Linked DNA regions of Anolis sagrei. The protein of the gene in region 3 purifies or fractionates together with the protein of the main gene of each other region. This does not show direct contact. Links are inferred from orthologs where the notes say so. Each region holds a gene or a part of one and is shown on either strand. Other genes may lie near its edges.

Region 1 (7,359 bases), on a different chromosome or scaffold from region 3:
TTGGATTTGCATTTTATGGAGGGACATTTCCAAGTTTCAGCTGAAGAGCTGACTGCACTACAAACCCCAGAATCCACAGGATGTTGTCATAGCAGCTAAAGTGGAATATAGTGCTATAATGGCATAGCTTGATAGGGACCCTAGTGTTGTCTTGTTACTGAAGGACCGTGAATACAGTCAGTCCTCTATACTTGTTGGGAATAGGGGCATAGGACCCCCATGAGAGTGAAAAACCATGAAAGAAATTACTGTTTTATGATCTGAAAAAAACACCTCTCTAGAAATATATAGGTCTTGGTGGTGGCCGGAGAGCTTTCGCACAATTAAAACTTGTGCACCAGCTACCCCGTTATCTTGGGAGGTTTGACTTGAATAGATTACTTCAACACATTCTACATGGGGTTGCCTCTGAAGACTGCTTGGAAGCTTCAGCTAGCCCAACACTCGGTGGCCAAGTTGCTCAAAGGAGTGGGGTACATGCAACTCCTGTTACGCCAGCTTCACTGGCTGCCTATTAGCTTCTGGGCACAATTCAAAGTGCTGGTCTTAACCTATAAACCCATAAAAATGATCCAGGCTCACTTTACCTGTCTGAGCGTATCTCCCTCTACGAACCACCAAGAACCTTAAGATCATCTGTCTAGGCCCTGATCTTGGTCCCACCACCATCGCAGTCGCATTTGGTGAGGATGAGAGACAGGGCCTTCTCTGTGTTGCCCCCCCAGCTGTGGATCTCCCTCCCTTATGAGATAAGATCTTCCCCATCCCTCCTGGTCTTCAGGAAGAAACTCATCCTGGCTGTGGGATCAAGTGTTTGCAGAATAGACGGATTTATTGGTGAAGATAAGGTTTTAGTGGACCACAATGGACTGATTTGGATGACAATTTGAACTGGCAAACTGTTTCAATGTATATTTATAACTATTTTAATGTATGCCCATTGTCTTTTATGTTATGTTGTTATATTGTGTCGGTATCGAATAGTTGCCTGTTGGAAGGCATCCTGAGTCCTTCTTTGGAGGTTGAGAAGTATGGGGTATAAATGTTCTAAATAACTAAATAAATAAACTTTTGCTGAAAGCTGATCATGGAATTGAACTGGAGGATCTAGAGTAGAGCTTTGTGTTCGTGACACGTTAAGTATGTCAGCTGCAGTGCGTAGGTTTCTCACACAAATGTAACAATAAACCTCCGAGTCTATCTGAAATAATACATCATATATTTTAAATATATAAATGGAAGGTTTTCATGAGGTATGTTGTGTCCTCATACATTTCATTATTACAATTTATGTATTGTATCTCTTATAAGGGGTTGGTTTAACCTCCCGTTTTCTAATAAAGGTGAATTATTGTGTCGCAAAATGGATATCTAAGAAGTGTGTCAACAACAGGAAATGTTTGGAGAGCTCTTATCGAGAGATTTCTAGAAAGATATTCATCAAAGTCAAACTGCAAATGTGGAGGCATGGCTGTATTGTATTTCTGACAGTTTTCTGGTGAAATGTGCAATTTGGTTTCTCTCTTCCCCTTCCTTCCTTTTCTGGTCTCTGGTGTAAAGTCGCTGGCCAGACATGCAAAAACTGGTCTTTGCCTCAATACTTGGGAATGGGAGCCATGAGTCAGCAGTAAATATATGCCTTGAAACTAGGATGATTAAAAATAAAAGTTTTACAAGTATTCATAAATTGCTTTTCTGTCCATCAGATCCACAGCAAGAACAAAAATGCTTTGAAACAAGATTAAAGCAATTAAAAGCTGAAGGCCTGGAAGGATAATAACATTAAGTGTCTGTCGGATGCTGAGTAACAAGGAAGCCTGCCTGACTTCCCTTGGGAGGGGGAGCCACAATTAAAGTGCCAGGATGTTTTCTGTGTACTTCACAGGATGGTGGAACAATGCGACAATACCGTCACTGGAGAGTTCAGTTCCTGAACAAGCTCATATGGGAGGAGGGTTGCATGTTGCAAGTCCCAAACTGAATCTGTGATGTATTGTGATTTATTTACTTATTGAAAATGTGAGGCACTGGATGGTGAGAATCTGGGACAATGACAAGCAATTGCTGATTAGATTATGGATGTCAAATGCCAAGATATTTCTACTAGTATTTCTGGTTACAGTTCCAGGGAGAAATGTATGGTACTATACTTAGGCAACAAAAATTAAATACACAGGTATAGGATGGGTGGCACCTGGTTTGAAAACTGCACGTGAAAGGGATCTAGGAGTCTTAGTAGCTGAACATGAGCCAACAGTTCATGCAGCAGCTAAAAAACTAATGTGATTCTGGGCTGTATCCATAGTGTTGAGACTGAGGAATTCACAGTCCCACTCTATTCTGCTGTTTACCAGTTATTTGGAGATAGGAGTCAAGTCTCAACACAAAATTCATTTATGCTTCATATACACCTTATGCTCATAAACCCATACAACATTTTAAATAACTTTTTTGTATTAAATGACATTAGCACACATTGGATTGGACTCTCGGAAAGCAAAGGTGTCACTCTCAGCCAACTATGTGGACATTATTGGAGTATTCTGGAATAAGGGATGCCCAACGTGTATTATTCCACTTCAGCGACCATGGCAACATTCTATGGAATCCTGGGATTTGTAGTTTTGGGTGGAGAAATAATAATAATAATAATAATAATAATAATAATAATAATAATAATCTCTCGGGAAGAGTCCAATATTCAGAGATTAATCCCAGACACCTGGACCTAATCATCAACATCATCTTGATTTATCTTTTTCTTAGGCAATCCCATGTCTGAATATGATAGCCTTCCAAGGGTTTTATTTTTCTTGGAAGATGCCTGTGCTTGAGTTTTTTTTAATGTGTGGCGGTTGGTGCACAGCCAATCAACACACAGTCTTCATGGAGTGAAGGTCCCAACCAGTGGCATGGTTAACATGATGGTGGTTTCTCAATCTGCTGCAGCCTTCTTCCGCATTCACAGCTGTTGTAACATATGCCATGTTATCTTCTGCCTGATCCACCATTGAGGTCTTCAGGTCTTTAGATTGTGCTTGGTCCCCTGCAGCCCCTCTTGGGAGTACATGACTCCGATGGTTATTCCTGCAGGTTCATTGGAACATGCAAACCCCCTCAAGGGGGATCTATACTTTATTTATATTCTGCCCTACCTCCCCGAGGGAACTCATGTGTTCTGTGCTGTGTTGTTATGCACAACTAAATCTAAATAATAATTTATTTATTCCGTATCAAAATCATTGCATAAATTAGTATAAAACTGATAAAATAAAAGGTGTGCAGGCAGCTAAATATCTTTTGACCAAAAACGGGCAACAGCGATGGCATTGTCTGCCGCCTCCAACAATTCCTCCCCTGTACATGAGGCAGGGCACAATGGACAAGTATACAGATGCAGAATTGCCTGTTCTGCTCCACAGTCACACAAGGGGACATGGAAAGAGCCTCCTCGAAGTAAATACAGTTGGGCGTCCCTCGGGCAACGTTTCTCATAAACGGCTAACCTTTCCAAATCCAAAAGCATTGCTTTTAAACATTTTGAAATAATAATATCACAGTCCTAAACCCTTGGGAAGTGTTCGACTTGTGATTTTGTGATACAAAATCCAGCATATATATTTCGTTTGCTGTGTCATACTGTGTTTTTGTATCAGTATAATAATAATAATAATAATAATAATAATAATCTGCAAAGGCTCTGGCATAAACCAGTACAGTAATTTATAATAAAAAAAACCAAGATTATGGCAACAAGAATGATTGACAACTGGAAAATAGAGGGAGAAAATGTGGAGGCCGTGACAGACTTTGTATTTCTAGGTGCAAAGATTACTGCAGATGCAGACTGTGGCCAGGAAATCAGAAGATGCTTACTTCTTGGATGCAGGCGAAACGTCAGGAGAAATGCTTCTAGAACATGGCCCTATAGCCCGAAAAAACCCACAAGAACCTAGCTCAATATTAGTATTATATTTAATTATATTGTACTATATCATTATTCTGCAACACCACCAGAAATATATATCACATGTAATATGTATACAATTATAATAGCTCTATAACAGTTCGGTGCAGTGGTCTTCTAAAATTTTTGGATTTCAGTTCCAGGTTTTGGGACTTCAATTCCCATAATTCCTCACAATTGGCCGAGGTAGCTGGGGCTTCTGGGAGTTGGAGTCCCCATCGGCTGAGTGTACCAGGGCCATATGATAGCTGTATTGCAGCATCCCTGTTTTCGAGGCGGGCGGGCCCTTTTGTGGTTGTATGCCGCCAACGCTGCTCCTCCTCCTGTTCAGTCTCGCCTGGCCCCGCCCCTTTCCTTTTGGGAGGGGAGGGGAAACCCAGCCTCGTCAGTCTCGCTCCCTGCCTCTCTAGTGCGCAGGCGCGGGCTCTTGGCGCAAGATGGCGGCGGCGGATAAACAGAAACATGAGCACGGGCGGGTGAAGATCGGGCACTACATCTTGGGGGACACGCTGGGCGTGGGCACCTTCGGCAAAGTCAAGGGTGAGCCCTCGGAGGGGTTGCTGTGGGGGGCGCGGGGCGGGGAGAAAGGCGTCCTCCTTCCAAGCAGCACGCCCTTCCCTGGGCAATGGAGATCTGTGGGGTGGTGAAGGTGAGGAAGGTGCCTGCCTGTGCCCTTTCCTTCCTGAGGCCTTCCAGTGGGTTTCTTTCTCCTGAAGAGAGGTTACTAAGCATAGCAATGGATTCAAACGGGCAGGGAAAGAAATTAAAACATTGACAATCATTTCTTGATAGTGAGAAGTGTTCAACTGTGGAATATAATGCCTTGGAGTGTGATGGAGGGTCTTAAATCGAGGCAGAATGGCCATCTGTGGGGTTTGCTTTGATTGTGCCTTCTTGTATTTCAATTGGGTTTTATTCCTTTTACCAATAAAAGCAGAGTCCATAATGCTTTAGTGCAGGCCTGGGCAAACTTGGGCCCTCCAGGTGTTTTGGACTTCAACTCCCACAATTCCTAACAGCCGATAGGCTGTTAGGAATTGTGGGAGTTGAAGTCCAAAACACCTGGAGGGCCCAAGTTTGCCCAGGCCTGCTTTAGTGGTACTGTATGTTTTAATTGTGGTAATGTTTTATACTTGTACAGGGCATGTTATGGGCTGTAATTATATTGGGATTATTTTCTCTGTGTATTGCGATTTGTCCTTTTGACTAACGGGCTGGATGGCCATCTGTCAGTGGTGATTTGAATGCAATATTCCTGCTTCTTGACAGGGGCTGGACTGGATGGCCTATGAGGTCTCTTCCAACTCTTTGATTCTATGATCTGTTTGCTTTGATTTTGCCTTTTGGATTGTCAGTGTGATTGATACTATGTATACAGTGTTCCCTCGCTATTATTTTATTATTATTTCGGTTACTTCTACCCCGCCCTTCTCAGCCCGGAGGGGACTCAGGGCGGCTTACAAAGGCATCAACATAACAATAGAATAAAAACAACATAGCAGCAGCTAAACAATTAGCAATCAGTTTCTGCATTACAACTATAAAACCAATAAAACCCGATTTCACACATTTAACGCACCGCGTTCGCCATCTCATAGTCCAATTTCCAATTCCACTTTGTCAGTCCTGTCAGTCCTAGTCGTCTGATTGTCCTTATCTAGCTGTCAGATTGCCTGAAGGCCTGGTCCCACAACCACGTTTTTACTTTCCTCCTGAAGGAGAGGAGGGATGTTGATGACCTAATTTCCCCCGGGAGTAAGTTCCACAGGTGAGGGGCCACCACTGAGAAGGCCCTGCTTCTCGTCCCCACCAGCCTCACTTGTGATAGTGGTGGGGTCGAGCGCACTCTGGGGTGGGACGTAGAGGGAGATGCATTACGTAGAGGGAGATGTGCTACTTTGCGGTTCACGTTTAACGGAATAACTGTTACATGATTTTCAAAAAATATTAATTTAAAATTAAATCATGGTATTTTCACTGTTTTGTGGGGTTTTGCCATTGCCACTCTCGGAGGTGCTTTCCCTCCCTCCCTCCCTCCACCCTTGAAGGGCCTTTCCTTCACTTCATTTTAAGTGTATAAAGACTTAAAATAATGTATACCTACTAAAATAATGTATAAATATTAATATAAATACAGCATCTCTACATTGCAGTTTTTCACTAATTGCTGGAGGTCCTGGAACGTAACCCCCACAATAAGTGAGGGAACACTGTATTGTTTTTTTCTTGTTGTAAGGGGAGAGAGGCGGGATATAAATAAAGCTTTATTATTCTTATTATTTGGGGAGCCGTGGTGGCGCAGTGGGTTAAATCTTTGTGCCGGCTGAACTGCTGATCAAAAAAGAGTGGGTAAGCGCCCATATGCGAGCTCTAGCTTCCCATGCAGGTAAATTGGAGAAGCCTCCCACAGGATGGTAAAACATTAGGGCGTCCCCTGGGCAACATCCTTGCAGGCAGCCAATTGTCTCATACTAGAAGGGACTTGCACCTTCTCAAGTTGCAGCTGACTCTCTCTCTCTCTCTCTCTCTCTATATATATATATATATATATAACTTTATGGCAGAAAGGGGTTGGACTGGATGGTCCTTGGGGTCTCTTCCAACTCGTGATTCTACTACACTGAAGAGGAAGGAAGGGTCTACATTGAGAAGTGTCTTTGCTTGGTTTAGTTTCTGTCAGAGGGTGCTGTCAGATTAAAGCAGTTTGACACCACTTGAATTGTTCAGTGTTATGAAATCCTGGAGGTTATCCTTTTACCAGGTCCTTAGACGTCTTTGCCAAAGAGACTACCTGTAATGAAGGGTGTACCTATCAGGCATGGGCAAAATTGGGCCCTCCAGGTGTTTTGAACTTCAACTCTCACAATTCCTAACAGCTGAAAGTGGTGTCAAACTGAATTCATTCTATAATGTAATTCTGCAATTATAGAATGAATTCAGTTAGACACCTCTTGCACTGCCATGGCTCATTGCTTCACAATCCTGGAATTTGCACTTTTGTGAGGCACAAGCACTCTTTGGAAAAGATGGCGGAAGCCTTTGTAAAATGACAACTCCCAGAATTTCATATCATTGAGCCATGGCAGTTCAGGTGATGGCAAACAGCATTAATTTGATGATATAGATCAGGCCTGGGCAAACTTTGGCCCTCAAGGTGTTTTGGACTTCAACTCTTACAATTCCTAACAGCCATTGTGTGAGTTGAAGTCCAAAAACACAGAGGGCTGAAGTTTGCCCAGGCCTGATACAGGTGCACTTTGAGGGGCTTTGAGGGGGAAAAACAAAGTAAACCTTAACAGTTCTCTTTCAATCTAGATCTTGCCCTTTTCTAGTCAGGACCAAGTCCTGTTGAATTAAACTCCCAGGTATTATGTGGCAATAGTGTACTACTA
Region 2 (7,607 bases), on a different chromosome or scaffold from region 3:
TCTCCATTATCCAGCGGATATTGGCAATCTGGTCTCTCGTTCCTCTGCCTTTTCTAAACCCAGCTTGAACATCTGGCAACTCTCGCTCCATGTATTGCTGGAGTCTTCCTTGCAGAATCTTGAGCATTACCTTACTGGCATGAGAAATAAGGGCCACTGTACGGAAGTTTGAGCAGTCTTTCGCATTTCCCTTTTTTGGTATGGGGATATAAGTTGATTTTTTCCAGTCTGATGGCCATTCTTGTGTTTTCCATATTTGCTGGCAAATGGCATGCATCACCTTGACAGCATCATCTTTTAAGATTTTAAACAGTTCAGCTGGGATCCTGTCGTCTCCTGCTGCCTTGTTGTTAGCAATGCTTCTTAAGGCCCATTCAACCTCACTCCTCAGGATGTCTGGTTCTAATTCATTCACCACACCGTCAAAACTATCCTCAATATTATTATCCTTCCTATACAGATCTTCTGTATAGTCTCGCCACCTTCTCTTGATCTCTTCAGCTTCTGTTAGGTCCCTGCCATCTTTGTTTCTTATCATACCAATTTTTGCCTGAAATTTACCTCCAATGTTTCTAATTTTCTGGAAGAGGTCTCTTGTCCTTCCTATTCTGTTGTCTTCTTCCACTTCCATGCATTGCTTATTTAAAAATAGTTCCTTATCTCTTCTGGCTAACCTCTGGAATTGCGCATTTAACTGGGCATATCTCCTCTTATCCCTGTTTCCTTTTGCTTTCCTCCTTTCTTGGGCTACTTCCAGTGTCTCAGCAGACAACCATTTTGCCTTCTTGGTTTTCTTTTTCTTTGGAACGTACTTTGTTGCCGTCTCCTGAACAATGTCGCGGACTTCTGTCCATAGTTCTTCTGGGACTCTGTTTACTAAATCTAGTCCTTCAAATCTGTTCTTCACTTCCACTGTATATTCGCTAGGAATGTTAGTGAGATCATATCTAACTGGTCTGTGTATTTTCCCTGATCTCTTTAGTTTTATTCTAAATTGTGCAATAAGAAGTTCGTGATCTGAGCTACAGTCAGCCCCAGGTCTTGTTTTCACCGACTGGATGGATGTCCACCACCTTTGGCTGCAAAGGATGTAGTCAATCTGATTTCGGTGTTGACCATCTGGTGAGGTCCATGTGTAAAGCCGTCTTTTAGGTTGTTGGAAGAGAGTATTCGTTATACACAGCGAGTTTTCCTGGCAAAATTCTATCAGCCTGCGTCCCGCTTCATTTTGTTCTCCCAGACCATGCTTGCCTGTGATCCCAGTTGTCACTTGACTTCCCACCTTGGCATTCCAGTCTCCCGTAATGAAAATAATGTCTCTTTTTGGTGTATTATCCAGTAGGTCCTGCAGATCCTCATAGAACTGATCTACTTCTGCTTCTTCAGCAGCTGTGGTTGGGGCGTATATTTGGATCACTGTAATGTGTAAAGGCTTTCCTTGCACTCGAATTGAGATCATTCTGTCATTTTTTGGGTTGTATCCAAGCACTGCTTTAGCGAATTTCTTATTAATTATGAAGGCTACTCCATTTCTTCTATGTTCCTCTTCTCCGCAGTAGTAGATCTGGTGGTCCTCTGATGTGAAGTGGCCCATTCCAGTCCATTTCAGTTCGCTGACCCCCAGAATGTCTATCTTTAGTCTTGACATCTCACCAATAACAACATCCAATTTGCCCTGGCTCATAGATCTTACATTCCAGGTTCCTATGGTGTGTTGATCTTTAGAGCATCGGATTCGTCGTTCACCTCCAGTACCGTCGGCAGCTAGCCTTCCTTTCGGCTTTGAGCTAGCTGCGTCATCACATCTGGGGCTAGTTGAACTTATCCTCTGCTCCTCCCCAGTAGCATTTTGGCCATCTTCCGACCTGGGAGTCCCATCTTCCAATGGCATACCGACATATCTCTGGTTGTACTGGTCCATTTAGTTTTCTTGGCAAGGATACTGGAGTGGTTTGCCATTGCCTTCCCCAGGGATCATGCTTGGTCTGACCTCTCTGCCACAACCGTCCCGTCTTGGGTGGCCCTTCACGGTTTTGCTCATGACATCATTGAGGTGCTCAAGCTCCAGCGCCCCGACAAGGCGGTGATCCTTTGCTGGAGAGTAGGATTTTATATACAGTTATTTCACTTATAATCATAAGGAATGTTGGAAGTCATTGTAAATTTCTTTGTTGCTGTTGATTTTAGCTGTATTTTTTTCTATATACCATATTTCTTCAATTGTGAGACACCATCAATTGTAAGATGCATCCTTATTCCAGTATCACCTACAAAAATACATAAAGTACACCTGTGATTCTAAGACTGGACAAAACTTAGCATAAATAAGCATCATGACCAGCTTTAAGTACTGGTAGGGGTGGGGGGTTGACCTTGGATGCTGGGAGTTGTTGTTCACTCAGTCAAAGAGGATGCTGAACTCCACCAATGATGGATCTGTACCAAACATGGCACACATCCCCATCTTTAAGTACTGGTGGGGTTGGCCAATGACAGAAATGATGGGAATTGCAGTCCACCCATGTCCAGGGAGCACCATGAATGCAATCAATCAAACTTGGAACACTTACCCATCATGATCAACTTTAACTACAGGCACCATTTGGGGGCAATGACAGATGACGATGGGATTTGTAATCTATCCCCATCCTTATGCATTTCCTAATGAGACTATTCATAAAATCCAAAAACTATGACTGCTTCTAATAACACTATGTAACAATATTTGAAAAATAAAAATCTGTTCCTGGTTTGAAAGTGTTATTTCCTGTTTAATTGTGTGGTACTTACTTTGAAAGTAGTTGTTGTAGTCCAGGATCTTCATTTTTGTGGCTTCCACAAACTATGTTGAATTGGTTGAGACCTGATGAGACATTCATTGCAAAACTCTAGCAAAATGTGCTGCAGGGTGTCCTGCAAAAAACACAGTTTTTGCAATGTAATAAACTGGGTTGCTGTGAGTTTTCCAGGCTGTATGGCCATGTTCCAGAAGCATTTTCTCCTGATGTTTCATCCCACATCTATGGCAGGCATCCTCAGAAATTTGTGAGGTCTGTTGGAAACTAGGCAAGTGCAGTTTATATATCTGTGGCATGTCCAGGGTAGAAGAAAGAAGTCTTGTCTACTTGAGGCAAGTGTGAATGTTGCAACTGCCCAACTTGATTTGCATTGAATGGCCTTGCAACTTCAAAGCCTGGCTGGTTGCTGCCCGGGGAAAATTTGTTGGGATGAGTTAGCTGGCCCTGGTTGTTTCTTATCTGGAATTCCCCTGTTTTCTGAGTGTTGTTCTTTATTTACTGTCCTGATTAGGGTGCAGTGAGTTAAACAGCTAAGCTGGTTGGCAGTTTGAATCCACAGGACAGGGTGAGCTCCTGTTGTTAGTCCCAGCTTCTGCCAACCTAGCAGTTCAAAAACATGCAAATGTGAGTAGATCAATTGATTTGGCAGGAAGGTAAGGGCGCTCCATGCAGTCATGCTGGCCACACGACCTAGGAGATGTCTATGGACAATGGCGGCTCTTTGGCTTAGAAATGGAGATGAGCACTAGCCCCCAGAATCAGTCACAAGTAGACTTAATGTCAAGGGGAAGCCTTTACCTTTACTGGGTTGTTGTAGGTTTTTTCAGGCTATATGGCCATGTTCTAGAGGCATTCTCTAGAACATCAGGAGAGAATGCCTCTAGAACATGGCCATATAGCCTGAAAAAAACCTACAACAACCCAGTGATTCCAGCTGTGAAAGCCTTTGACAATACATCTTTACCTTTAACACCTCCAAACAAAGGATTCCCCCTAGCCATGCTTTGAAGCTGCAAGGCCGTTCAATGCTAATTAAGGCGGCCAATGGCAACATCTACACTTGCCTCAAGCAGAGAAAACTTCCTGACTGTGAGAGCCGTTCAGCATTGGAACTTTCTGCCCTGGAGTGTGGTGGAGGCTCCTTCTTTGGAAGCTTTTAAACAGAGGCTGGATGGCCATCTGTCAGGGGTGATTTGAATGCAATATTCCTGCTTCTTGGCAGGGGGTTGGACTGTGGATGGCCCATGAGGTCTCTTCCAACTCTTTGATTCTTTGATTCTATGAAAAGCTCTTTCTCCCACCCTAGAGATTATTCTACTGATATATAAACCCCACTTGCCTCGTTTCCAACAGACCTCACAACCTCTGAGGATGCCTGCCATAGATGTGAGTGAAACGTCAGGAGAGAATGCTTCTGGAACATGGCCATATAGCCCCAAAACTCACAGCAACCCAGTGATTCCAGCCAAGACAAAACAACACAGTGATTCCAGCCAAGACAACTTTCCACATATTTTATGACTGAACCAATTAGGAAATGACATTGATAAACCAGGACCAAAAAAAGTCGTGTTGCATAGTGTAATTAGAAAAAATATATGAATAAATGAGAGAAAACACACACAGAGAGAGACATGTTTTAGCCATCCCCAGGGAGAAGAAATGCCTTCCCGCCTCTTCTCCTGCGTACCTGCCCACCTCTCTCCCTCCCCTTCCCTTCCCCACCTCTGGGCTCTGCTGCTGCCTTGGCTGTTGCTGCTGCCTCTCCTCGCCTGCTGCCTCCTCCTTTCCCCGCCGCCCTCCCCATCCCTCCCCGCCGCCTTTGCCGCCGGCCCTGCTGCATTGTGGTCCGGCCCGGCCGGTGTCGGCGGAGGCAAAGCTGCCAAGAGCAGCAGCAGCAGCAGCAGAAGCGGCAGGAGCAGCGAAGATGGCAGAGAAGCCTCCGCCGCCGCAGAAGCACGACGGGCGCGTCAAGATCGGGCACTACGTTTTGGGGGACACGCTGGGCGTCGGCACCTTCGGCAAAGTCAAGAGCTGAGTATCTCCCAGGGGGGCGCCGCGGAGAAGGAGGGAGGGAGGGAGGAAGGGAAGGGGTCCGGTCCTGAGAGCGCCCTCCCAGCGCTTCCCATCCAGGCAGGAGCCCCATGAGCGCTGCTCTTGCGCCTCTAGGACGCCCCTTCTTTGGGGCCAGTCTTTTAAAGCCCTCCCTCGGGGTCTCCCAAATGCCCCCCTCCCCCCTCCCCATGGCAGCAAGGAGGAACCCACCCCAACCTTGGTCAAGATATCAGCTCATTGGGGACATCCCTGTTTACCTCTCCCCGTTATCCAAAAGCATCTTTAGACTATATCCCAGACTTCGCCCTCCAGGTGTTTGGGACTTCAGCTCCTACAATTCCTGACAGCCGACATACACACAGTATGCATGCATACACACACACACATTAGGATTGTGGGAGTGAAGTCCAAAACACCAGGAGGGCCCAAGCATGCATGCTTGTGTGTGCGTGTGTATGTACACACACACACACACACACACACACACATATACATGCATACCAGGCATGGGCAAACTTCGGCCCTCCAGGTGTTTTGGACTTCAGCTCCCACAATTCCTAACAGCCAGCATACACACAGTATGCATGCATACACACACACATAGATTAGGAATTGTGGGAGTTGAAGTCCAAAACACCAGGAGGGCCAATAATGCATGCTTGTGTGTGTATATATATATATATATATACACCAGAAATGGGCAAACTTCAGCCCTCCAGGTGTTTTGGACTTCAGCCCCCAGAATTCCTAACAGCCGGCATACACACAATATGCTAATCTTCTCTGTATCATCCCAATTTTAGTATATGTGCTGCCGAAGTGAGCAATATGCATGCACCCATGTAAGTGTATGTGTGTGTATACACATAGATACACATACAGATGCATTAGGAATTGTGGGAGATGAGGTCCAAAATACCTGGAGGGCCCAATTTTTCCCAGGCCTGGTATATATATATATATATATATATATATATACACACACACACACACACACACACACACAGTATGCATGCATTCATGTGTGTGTGTATATATACCAGGAATGGTCAAACTTTGGCCCTCCAGGTGTTTTCCTAACAGCCGGCATACATGCAGTATGCATGCACACATGTAAGTGTATGTGTATACACACACATACACGTACAAATACATTAGAAATTGTGGGAATTGAAGTCCAAAACACCTGGAGGACGCAAGTTTGTGCATGCCTGGTATATACATACACACAGTATGAATGCATACTGGTAAGCTGTTAGGAATTGTGGGAGTTGGAGTCCAAAACACCTGGAGGGGCAAAGTTTACTCATTACTGGTACACACACAGAGAGATGTATATGTGTGTATATATACACATACATATACACACACACTATATACACTCTCTCTGTACACACACAGAGTATATATGTAGAGGGAGAGGGAGAAATCCTGCTCTGGTCTGGAACCTTGTCTCCCAAACGCTGGTCTCCCAGGTGTTTTGAACTCCAGCTACCAGAATCCCTGCTCATTGGCCCTGACAGCGGAGGCTTCTGGGAACTGAGAGTCCAAAACTGCAAGAGCACTGGGGTTGAAGGTCTGGGGGTATTTCTCAAAGCAAAGGTGGAGTCGTTGGTGGACCTGCCTCATTGTCAAAGGCAAACACTTGGTACAAATGATCTTAACGTGTTTTTAATCTCACCTCTGCTATGTAATATAATAATAATAAAACTTGATATCCCGCCCACCTCCCAACATGGGACTCAGAGCGTCTGACAACATAAAAGGCAAATATGCAATGCCAACAAGTATATACATAATACTGTAGACTTTGAGAGGTTTTTTTGTGTCAGGAGCAACTTGAGAAACTGCAAGTTGCTTCTGGTGTGAGCGAATTGGTCATCTGCAAGGACATTTCCAAGGGGACACTTGGATGTTTTACTATCCTGTGGCAGCCTTCTCTCATGTCCCAGCATGAGAAGCTGGAGCTGACAGATGGAAGCTCACCCTGCTCCTCAGATTTGAACCGCCGACTTTTCAGTCAGCAGTTTTGCCAACACAAGAGTTTTACCCATTGTGCCACTGGGAGCTCCTAGAATCTCAGTTAACTGGCACCCACAGGGATTGGTAGATGTATTTATTTATTTATTTGCAGTATTTGTATACCACCCTTCTCAACCCCGAAGAGCACTTAGAGTAGTTCACAGTGTTCGCAACAATTCAATGCCATCAATAAAAAACAGTATAAATGTCAAATAAATGTGGTTTCTGGTTGCTTGAGAGTTACTAGTAAAAATAGGCCTCATATTCTACGCTATTCTGTACCATATCATATCATAAACTCTGTATTGACAATATTAATATTGAAATACAGCAATGGAAAGTCATTTAGGAAAGATAAAGAGAAGCTTAATTTATCACAGTTTTATTGTATTGTAAAAACAGTTTTGTGAATTCTATGTAATTTCTTTGATTTCTTTTGCTAGTTAGTTGAGAGTCTATTTTATAAATGTTTTAATGATCTTGTTATCTATATATTTTAAGTGTATTGTCCCTTGCCTTGAGGGAAAGTTGGGTGAATAATAATAATAATAACAACAACAAAAACAATCCAAAATGCAAGCATTCGTCTACTGCTTTCTACATATAGGATTACCACATATTGGAGCCCCCAGTAGCATGGTGGTTTAAACCACTGAGCTGCCGAACTTGCTGATCGAAAGGTCACAGATTCGAATCCTTGAAGCGGCATGAGCTCTTGCTGTTAGCCCAGCT
Region 3 (7,839 bases):
AGCCCATAGGATGAATATGGATTCAGGGCCCTTCCACACAACCCTGTATCACAGAATATCAAGGCAGAAAATCCCACATTATCTGAGTTGGACTCGGATAACCCAATTCAAAACAGATATTGTGGGTTCTTGTGGGTTTTTTCGGGCTATATGGCCATGTTCTAGAGGCATTTCTCCTGACGTTTCGCCTGCATCTATGGCAGGCATCCTCAGAGGGTGAGGGTTTTTCTGCCTTGATATTCTGGGATGCATGACTGTGTGGAAGGGCCCTCAGTTTGGCTCCTTGTCAGTACTGTTTGTAGCTATTGGTGATGTCTATATATCAGCTCCAGCGATGTATTCAGTATCCTAGATAGACAGGTATTCCTCTGTCCTGCTGGTGGGCTTCCCCAAATGATGTAGGGCCCTTCCACACAGCTATATAACCCAGAATAACAAGTCCCTTTGCTACTTCTGACAGCAAGCTGTCTCAGGCTAGCCTCAGCCGAAGGAACACAAGCAGGGTACTCTCAGGGTCCTTCCACACAGCTATATAACCCAATATCTTCTTTGAACTGGGTTATCAGTCCACATTGCCATATATCCCTGTTCAAAGCAGAAATTGTGGGATTTTATTCAGCTGTGGCTATAGTTAGTTATCTGCTATGATAAAGGAATAACAGGCCTTTGATCTGAGTCAGTAGGGCTCTTCATATGATTTTTTAAGCAAAGGATGCTAAATGTATTGGTCACAGAGGAAAATCCTTTTGATCATTTATGAAAACCATCTCACATACACATGCACACTCTGTAATGTCCTAGTTTCAACATGTTATATAAGTGCTCAGCTTCTACTATGACATGACCCTGATATATAGTAGAACTTGGCATCTCATGAAGAGTTAGGACTGGGCAGCCAAGGTACGCCTCTTACTTGTGATCTGACCCCAAAGTTACTCCCAAAATTCAAAATCTACAAAAGAGCAATACTTTCATTAAATGGATCTTTATAAACCACATCGCCACTAAGTTTGCAGATTTATTTTTAACAGCCTTATACAACGAATATCAGGTGTTGTAGGTTATATTTCACCACCTCTGAGTATTCCTTGCCTAAGAAAACAGTATAAAATAAATGGGTTACCATAAATAAATCAATAGGCAACTTGAAGGGTTGTGTATACACACACATATTAGATGGTTTACAAAATGACTAGATGTTTTAGAGGAGTTTTTAATATATCAAAGATCTGGTATTCGTTGTATTTTTCTACCTGGCTACCCTCTGAATGTGTTTCCAAGAACTGAAACTGCTCGACACTGTTGGAAAGTGTATGTGTCTGTACAAATCTAGTTCTTCACACTTGCCTCCAGCAGACAAGACTTCTTTCTCCCACCCTGGACATTCCACAGATATATAAACCCCACTTGCCTAGTCTCCCAACAGACCTTAGAACTGGGTTGTTGTAGGTTTTTTCAGGCTATATGGCCATGTTCTAGAGGCATTCTCTCCTGATGTTTCGCCTGCATCTATGGCAAGCATCCTCAGAGGTAGTGAGGTCTGTTGGAACTAGGAAAATGGGTTTCCTCTGAGGATGCTTGCCATAGATGTAGGCAAAACATCAGGAGAGAATGCCTCTAGAACATGGCCATATAGCCCAAAAACCATACAACAACCCAGTGATTCCGGCCATGAAAGCCTTTGACAAGACCTTAGAACCTCTGAGGATGCCTGCCATAGAAGTGGGTGAAATGTCAGGAGATAATGCTTCTGGAACATGGCCATACAGCCTAGAAAACTCACAGCAAACTCACAGCCTGAAAGGCTTTGATATCACAATCTAGTTCTTGATACCATTTTGGATTATATACCAGTAATAAGAGCACTGATCCACAGTATGCTGGCTACATCGAGTTTTTTTTTTAAAACAAACCAGGTGAATTATTAGTAAACACTGGAAATCTAACATTCCCTTTAAATCTACATAAATGTTATTTGGCAGCCAAGAAACAAGTAGCCTGGAAAATGAGAGACACAGTGGCTCTTTGAGTACCAAGTACTGTATACTTATACTCAAGTATAATCCTAGATTTTCAGCACATTTTTAATGCTGAAAAAGGTCCCCTCGACATACTCGAGTGAAGGTACTGGTGGGAAGGTGTGGGGCTGAAAGAAGCACTTTGCAAGGCTTCTACCAGCTGCTTGCCTTCTCCCCTTTCGGCACAGCAATTTAGTTGGATCTCTGTGCCTAGAGAGGAGGAAAGGAAGGCGTGCGACCTCTCCTCTCAGCACTGCTGTGGATTGCTTTGCCGAGAGGAGAAGCTGTATGTCACAATTAATGCAATTTTATTGGTATCTATTTTTATTTTGAAACTTACCAGTAGCTGCTGCATTTCCCACCCTTGGCTTATACTCAAGTCAGTAAGTTTTCCCAGTTTTTTGTGGTAAAATTAGGTGCCTCGGCTTATATTCGGGTTGTCTTATACTTGAGAATATACGATACCTTCCACACCACTAAATCAGGGTAGACAATTGTGGCCTTCTAGATTATGAGAAGCTCCCATAATCCTTCACTGGCTAGGGCTGATGGTAGCCACAATGTATCAAAATCTATAGGCCCGCACTTTGGCGACCCCTGTTCTCAATGTTTTGGCCATGCTATAGTTGAGATTGAATGTGCTGTCAATTGCTGGATCCCAAAAATGGGTGGATGGTTTAAAAAGAACAGAATAACTTCCACGCAGGCACGCAGGCTACAGCTCCCCCCTCGAAATTCTGATGGTGGTCCGCGAGAAGGCCTTACTGGTACATTATTTAAACTGTTATGTTTATTCATATCATGATCTGATCACCATGCTCGATATATCCCATATGCATGGGGTATTGGGGTAGACCCTCTTTCACTCAGACTCAGCCCCCCCCCCGAACCAAACTCAGCCCCCCCGTCCCCAAACAAAATCCTGGCTACGGGCCTGCTTCCACGGTTTTCTTTTACTTTTTTAAAAGCAGGATTTTAATGTATAGGGGAAAGAGTTCTTTTATTTTCTTGTGATGTTTAGCTTTTAACACTTTTCTCTGTTTTGAAACTGATTTCAAAATGAAGATGAATTGATTTGCATCATTTTATATTTTCACTGCAAATATTACAGTGATCGGAAACTGCCTGGCATGCTGTTGTACTGTAAACCTGAGTTTACAAAACATTTCATGTTGGTGAGGCACCATTTTAGGCATCTATAATTTTGTGAGTTATTCAGTTTTACTAGAAACCCAGAGGTTAAACCAACCCCTTATAAGAGATATGGACAGCCGCAGTGGTGCAATGGGTTAAATCCTTGTGCCAGCTGAACTGCTGACCTGAAGGTCGGTGGTTCGAATATGCAAGACAGGGTGAGCTCCTGTCTATCAGCTCCAGCTTCCCATGCAGGGACATGAGAGAAGCCTCCCACAGGATGGCATTCCCTGGGCAAAGTCCCTAGAAACGGCCAATTCTCTCACACCAGAAGCGACTTGCAGTTTCTCAAGTTGCTTCTGACACACACAAAAAAAAACATATGTAAATTGCAATAACGACATGCATGGGGACATGGCATAACTCATGAAAACCTTTCCTTTCTATTTTGAAATGTAGATTATCATGGATTGCTTATTTCATATAAACACAGAGGTATTTGCAAAACACACTGACACACTGCAGCTGACACACGAACAGATCCTGATTTTTGGGAAGCTCTGCTGTAAATAGATGCAGCTTGGCAACACTTTTGCTGCATCACCTCCTCTGACTGGTGCCTCATTAGACTGCAACTGGTGTAATTCCTTAGGCCAGTGTTTCTCAACCTGGAGGTCGGGATCCCTGGGGGGAGGGTCATGAGAGGAATGCCAGAGGGGTCGCCAAAGACCATCAGAAAACACAGTATTTTCTGTTGGTCATGAGTGTTCTGTGTGCCAAGTTTGGTTCAATTCCATCATTGGTGGGGTTCAGAATGCTCTTTGATTGTAGGTGAACTATAAATCCCAGCAACTACAACTCCTAAATGTCAAGGTCTATTTCCCCTAAACTCCACTAGTGTTCCCATTTGGACATATTGAGTATTTGTGCCAAGTTTGGTCCAGATCCATCATTGTTTGAGTCCACAGTGGTCTCTGGATGTAGGTGAACTACAACTCCAAAACTCAAGGTGACTGGCCAGCAAAACCTTCCAATATTTTCTGTTGGTCATGGGAGTCCTGTGTGCCAAGTTTGGTTCAATTCCATCGTTGGTGGAGTTCAGAGTGCTCTTTGTAGGTGAACTATATATCCCAGCAACTACAACTCCCAAATGTCAAGGTCTATTTCCCCTAAACTCCACTAGTGTTCCCATTTGGACATATTGAGTATTTGTGCCAAGTTTGGTCCAGATCCATCATTGTTTGAGTCCACAGTGGTCTCTGGATGTAGGTGAACTACAACTCCAAAACTCAAGGTGAGTGGCCAGCAAACCCTTCCAATATTTTCTGTTGGTCATGGGAGTTCTGTGTGGCCAAGTTTGGTTCAATTCCATCCTGAGTGGAGTTCAGAATGCTCTGATTGTAGGTGGACAATAAATCCCAGCAACTACAACTCCCAAATGACAAAATCAAAACAGTGTTCAAATTTGGGCGTTTCGGGTATTTGTGCCCAATGTGGTCCAGTGAATGAAAATTCATCCTGCGTATCAGATATTTACATTACAATTAATAACAGTAGCAAAATTTGTTATGAAGTAGCAACGAAAATAATGTTATGGTTGCGGGTCACCACAACATGAGGAAGTGTATTAAGGGGTCGCGGGAATAGGAAGGGGGGGGAACCACTGGCCTAGGCAGTCCAAGCGGTGCCAAGCTGCGTTCGTGCCACGGTGCAGATGCGCTCCCTCTTTCTCCCCGGCCTGGGGCGCAGCTCTGTCCGGGCGCCTTCTGACCCTTCTGGAAGTGCGGGGGTGGCCGAGGGGCGGCGGGGCGGGCCTTCCCTCTCTCCTCCCCCTCCGCTCCGCCCTCCCCTCCGCTGCCCGTGTGTTTATGCCAGGCCCACCCCACCGCCCCGCCGGACGCCCCAGCGCCTCGGCCCTTCGCCCGAAAGAGGAGCCATGGAGAGGCAGGAGGACGCGGCCTCGGAGCAGGTAAGGCGCACTTGGCTGCCAGCCCCGGCCGAGGAGCCCAAGGGGACGCCCTCCAGCCCCGGGGCGCCTCCAGACACGGCCTGCCTCTCGCCACGCACACGCCGCCGCCCGCCCGCCCTCTACACCAGGGCTTCTCCACCTGCCTAACGCCGCGACCCCTTAATACAGTTCCTCATGTGGTGGTGACCCCCAACCATAACATTATTTTCGTTGCTACTTCATAACCGTAATTTTGCTTCTGTTATGAGTCATCATGTAAATATCTGATATGTATTTTCATTCACTGCACCAAATTTGGCACAAATACCCGATACCCCCCAAATTGGAATACTGGTGGGGTTAGATACGGGGTTGATTTTGTCATTTGGGAGTTGTAGTTGCTGAGATTTATAGTTCACCTACAATCAAAGAGCATTCTGAACCCCACCAATGATAGAATTGATCTAAACTTGGCATACAGGACTCCCATGATCAACAGAAAATACTGGAAGGGCTTAGTGGGCTTAACCTTGAGTTTGGGAGTTGTAGTTCACCTACGTCCAGAGAGCACTGTGGACTCAAACAATGATGGATCTGGACCAAACTTGGCACAGATACTCAATATGCCCAACTGTGAACACTGGTGGAGTTTGGGGGGAAATAGACCTTGACATCTGGGAGTTGTAGTTGTTGGGACTTATAGTTCACCTACAATCAAAGAGCATTCTGAACCCCACCACCAACAGAATTGGACTCCCATGATCAACAGAAAATACTGGAAGGGCTTAGTGGGCTTGACATTTTCATTGATCAATCCCACTGGCCAAGCTTTGTAGATATGGATGATTTAGATTCAATTTAGTGACAAATCCCATCTGACAAATCTCTTTCTGTCTTGCACCAGGCCTTGTTTCAAGGGAAGGGTCTTTCTAACTATTGATGCCAGTTTTTGCCAGATCCTTTCTCTCAGGTCCCAGGGCTAACCTCACCTGAGCAGGTATTTGATGGTACAGTTGACTCTCCATACCAAAGGTTTTGGCGTCCATGGGTGCAACCATCCATAACCATCCCCCACTTAAATCCAAAAATCCAAAAAGTGAATGTTGAGGGCTGTTTCCTGTCATGGTCATGGGGAGTGTAAAAAAAGTTTCAGGGGGTTGGGCTAGGTGGCCCATGTGGCCTCTTCCAGCTCTATGATTCTATGATGCTATGACTTCATAGAAAGGAAAATCAGTCTTCTTTACAAGCATTGCAAATGCTGAATTATATCAGTAGTTGTTTGATTTTATACTTATTTTTAATACTTATATACTTGTGTAAAAATTTATCTGGCAGAAAGACATTTTGAGTGCAAAAAGTTTTAGAAGCCCTTAGCCAACATTTTAAAAATGAATTTAATGCCCTTTTTAATTTATGATAGCTTAGGAATGGAAACTTAGTCTGCAGGTTTCTTCTCTCAGGATAGCATTCTCATTGGAAATACTCCAGACTTGTAACATCTGCTGCACAGATCCCAATTCAGCATGGCATAGGCAATCTCTGTGTAATACCATCCGTTTGTGTTCCACTCCTAGGCATTACCACTGAACAATGGTCTCCAGCATCAGGAAGCAGGTGGGTAGTATGTTGGCTTTGCCTGCCGCTGGTGGAGTGACTTCTCCCAAGTACAGACTTCACTGCCTGTCATCCGCCTGTCATCTGTCTGTGCCCAGAGGATTGCTTTGGATACTAACTACCTGTTTTGGGACTTCTTCAAAAACTGCTAATCAATAACAGCACGATTTTGTACATATGCAGTCAGAGACATTACTTCATGCTCTTGCTGTTTGCCCTGTTTAGCCAGGATGGTGCCTTTCTGCCTAAACAATTGTTTCCATTGTACTACTTCATCACACTAGAGAAAAATGCACTTAAAATCCAGTTTCTGCCTCCTGCAGAATTCTGGGAGTTGTAGTTTAGGGAGGCTGTTAAAGGCTCCTTCCTAAACTTCAAACCCCTGAAACTTCAAACCCCTTAAAATCTGGTTTCTGCAAGAGGCAGAAACCGAATTTTAAGTGGATTTATTCTCTCATGTCTGGTATTGTGATCTGTCCCAGTATCCAAGTTCCACTTTCCTCGTTATTATGGTGTGGGGAATTCTAGTTTTGATGGAATTGATGCCATCTAATGTAATAAACAGATAATTAGAATAGAATCTGGAAGACCCAAATCCAAAATTCAGATTCCCCATCACAGCAATATTTTCCAGCCTCTGTTTTCTATCTGTCAAATGACAACCTACCTCACAGGGTTGTTGTGAGGCCACTCAATAAAGATTATGTTGATGGATACATAAATGCTTTAATAACCATAAAGGCCTCTTTTTAAAAAATATTTTATTGATAATTTTTCAGGAGAGGTGGGAGGTGGATAAGGGGAGGAGAGAAGGGGGGAAATATAAGGGAAGAGATTGGGAAAGTAAGGGTAGGTAGGTAGGTAGGTAGGAAGGAAGAAAGGAAGGAAGGAAGGAAGGAAGGAAGGAAGGAAGGGGGAGAGCGAAGAAAAGAGAGAGGAGAAAAAGAAAAAAATGATCCAAAATATATAAAAAGTTGGGTTATAGTTTAAAAGAGAGAAAAATCAACACAAGAAAAAAACCAGGAAAAATAACTATTTAGAACTTCTTTCTTTATAGTGGGATAGGTGATAATAGGAAAAATAAAATAAAATAAATAAATAAACAATTGTCTGTTGTATTTAACA

What was found. The genes of interacting proteins can lie anywhere in the genome.
Region 1: the proteins of PRKAG3 (region 3) and PRKAA1 purify together in Homo sapiens (affinity purification with mass spectrometry; 3 studies listed by BioGRID and IntAct, counting the BioPlex papers as one, with this or other methods). This does not show direct contact. The link is inferred for Anolis sagrei from reciprocal best matches to the Homo sapiens genes PRKAG3 and PRKAA1.
Region 2: the proteins of PRKAG3 (region 3) and PRKAA2 purify together in Homo sapiens (affinity purification with mass spectrometry; 3 studies listed by BioGRID and IntAct, counting the BioPlex papers as one, with this or other methods). This does not show direct contact. The link is inferred for Anolis sagrei from reciprocal best matches to the Homo sapiens genes PRKAG3 and PRKAA2.

What each region holds. Positions count from the first base shown.
Region 1 is NC_090022.1:277,223,418-277,230,776, forward strand, and holds the start of PRKAA1 (5'-AMP-activated protein kinase catalytic subunit alpha-1), read left to right. Parts: upstream 1-4,349; 5' UTR 4,350-4,404; coding exon 4,405-4,507; intron 4,508-7,359. UniProt on the Homo sapiens protein: Catalytic subunit of AMP-activated protein kinase (AMPK), an energy sensor protein kinase that plays a key role in regulating cellular energy metabolism.
Region 2 is NC_090024.1:170,779,687-170,787,293, reverse strand, and holds the start of PRKAA2 (5'-AMP-activated protein kinase catalytic subunit alpha-2), read left to right. Parts: upstream 1-4,597; 5' UTR 4,598-4,725; coding exon 4,726-4,831; intron 4,832-7,607. UniProt on the Homo sapiens protein: Catalytic subunit of AMP-activated protein kinase (AMPK), an energy sensor protein kinase that plays a key role in regulating cellular energy metabolism.
Region 3 is NC_090021.1:230,119,669-230,127,507, reverse strand, and holds the start of PRKAG3 (5'-AMP-activated protein kinase subunit gamma-3), read left to right. Parts: upstream 1-4,814; 5' UTR 4,815-4,866; coding exon 4,867-5,121; intron 5,122-6,674; coding exon 6,675-6,714; intron 6,715-7,839. UniProt on the Homo sapiens protein: AMP/ATP-binding subunit of AMP-activated protein kinase (AMPK), an energy sensor protein kinase that plays a key role in regulating cellular energy metabolism.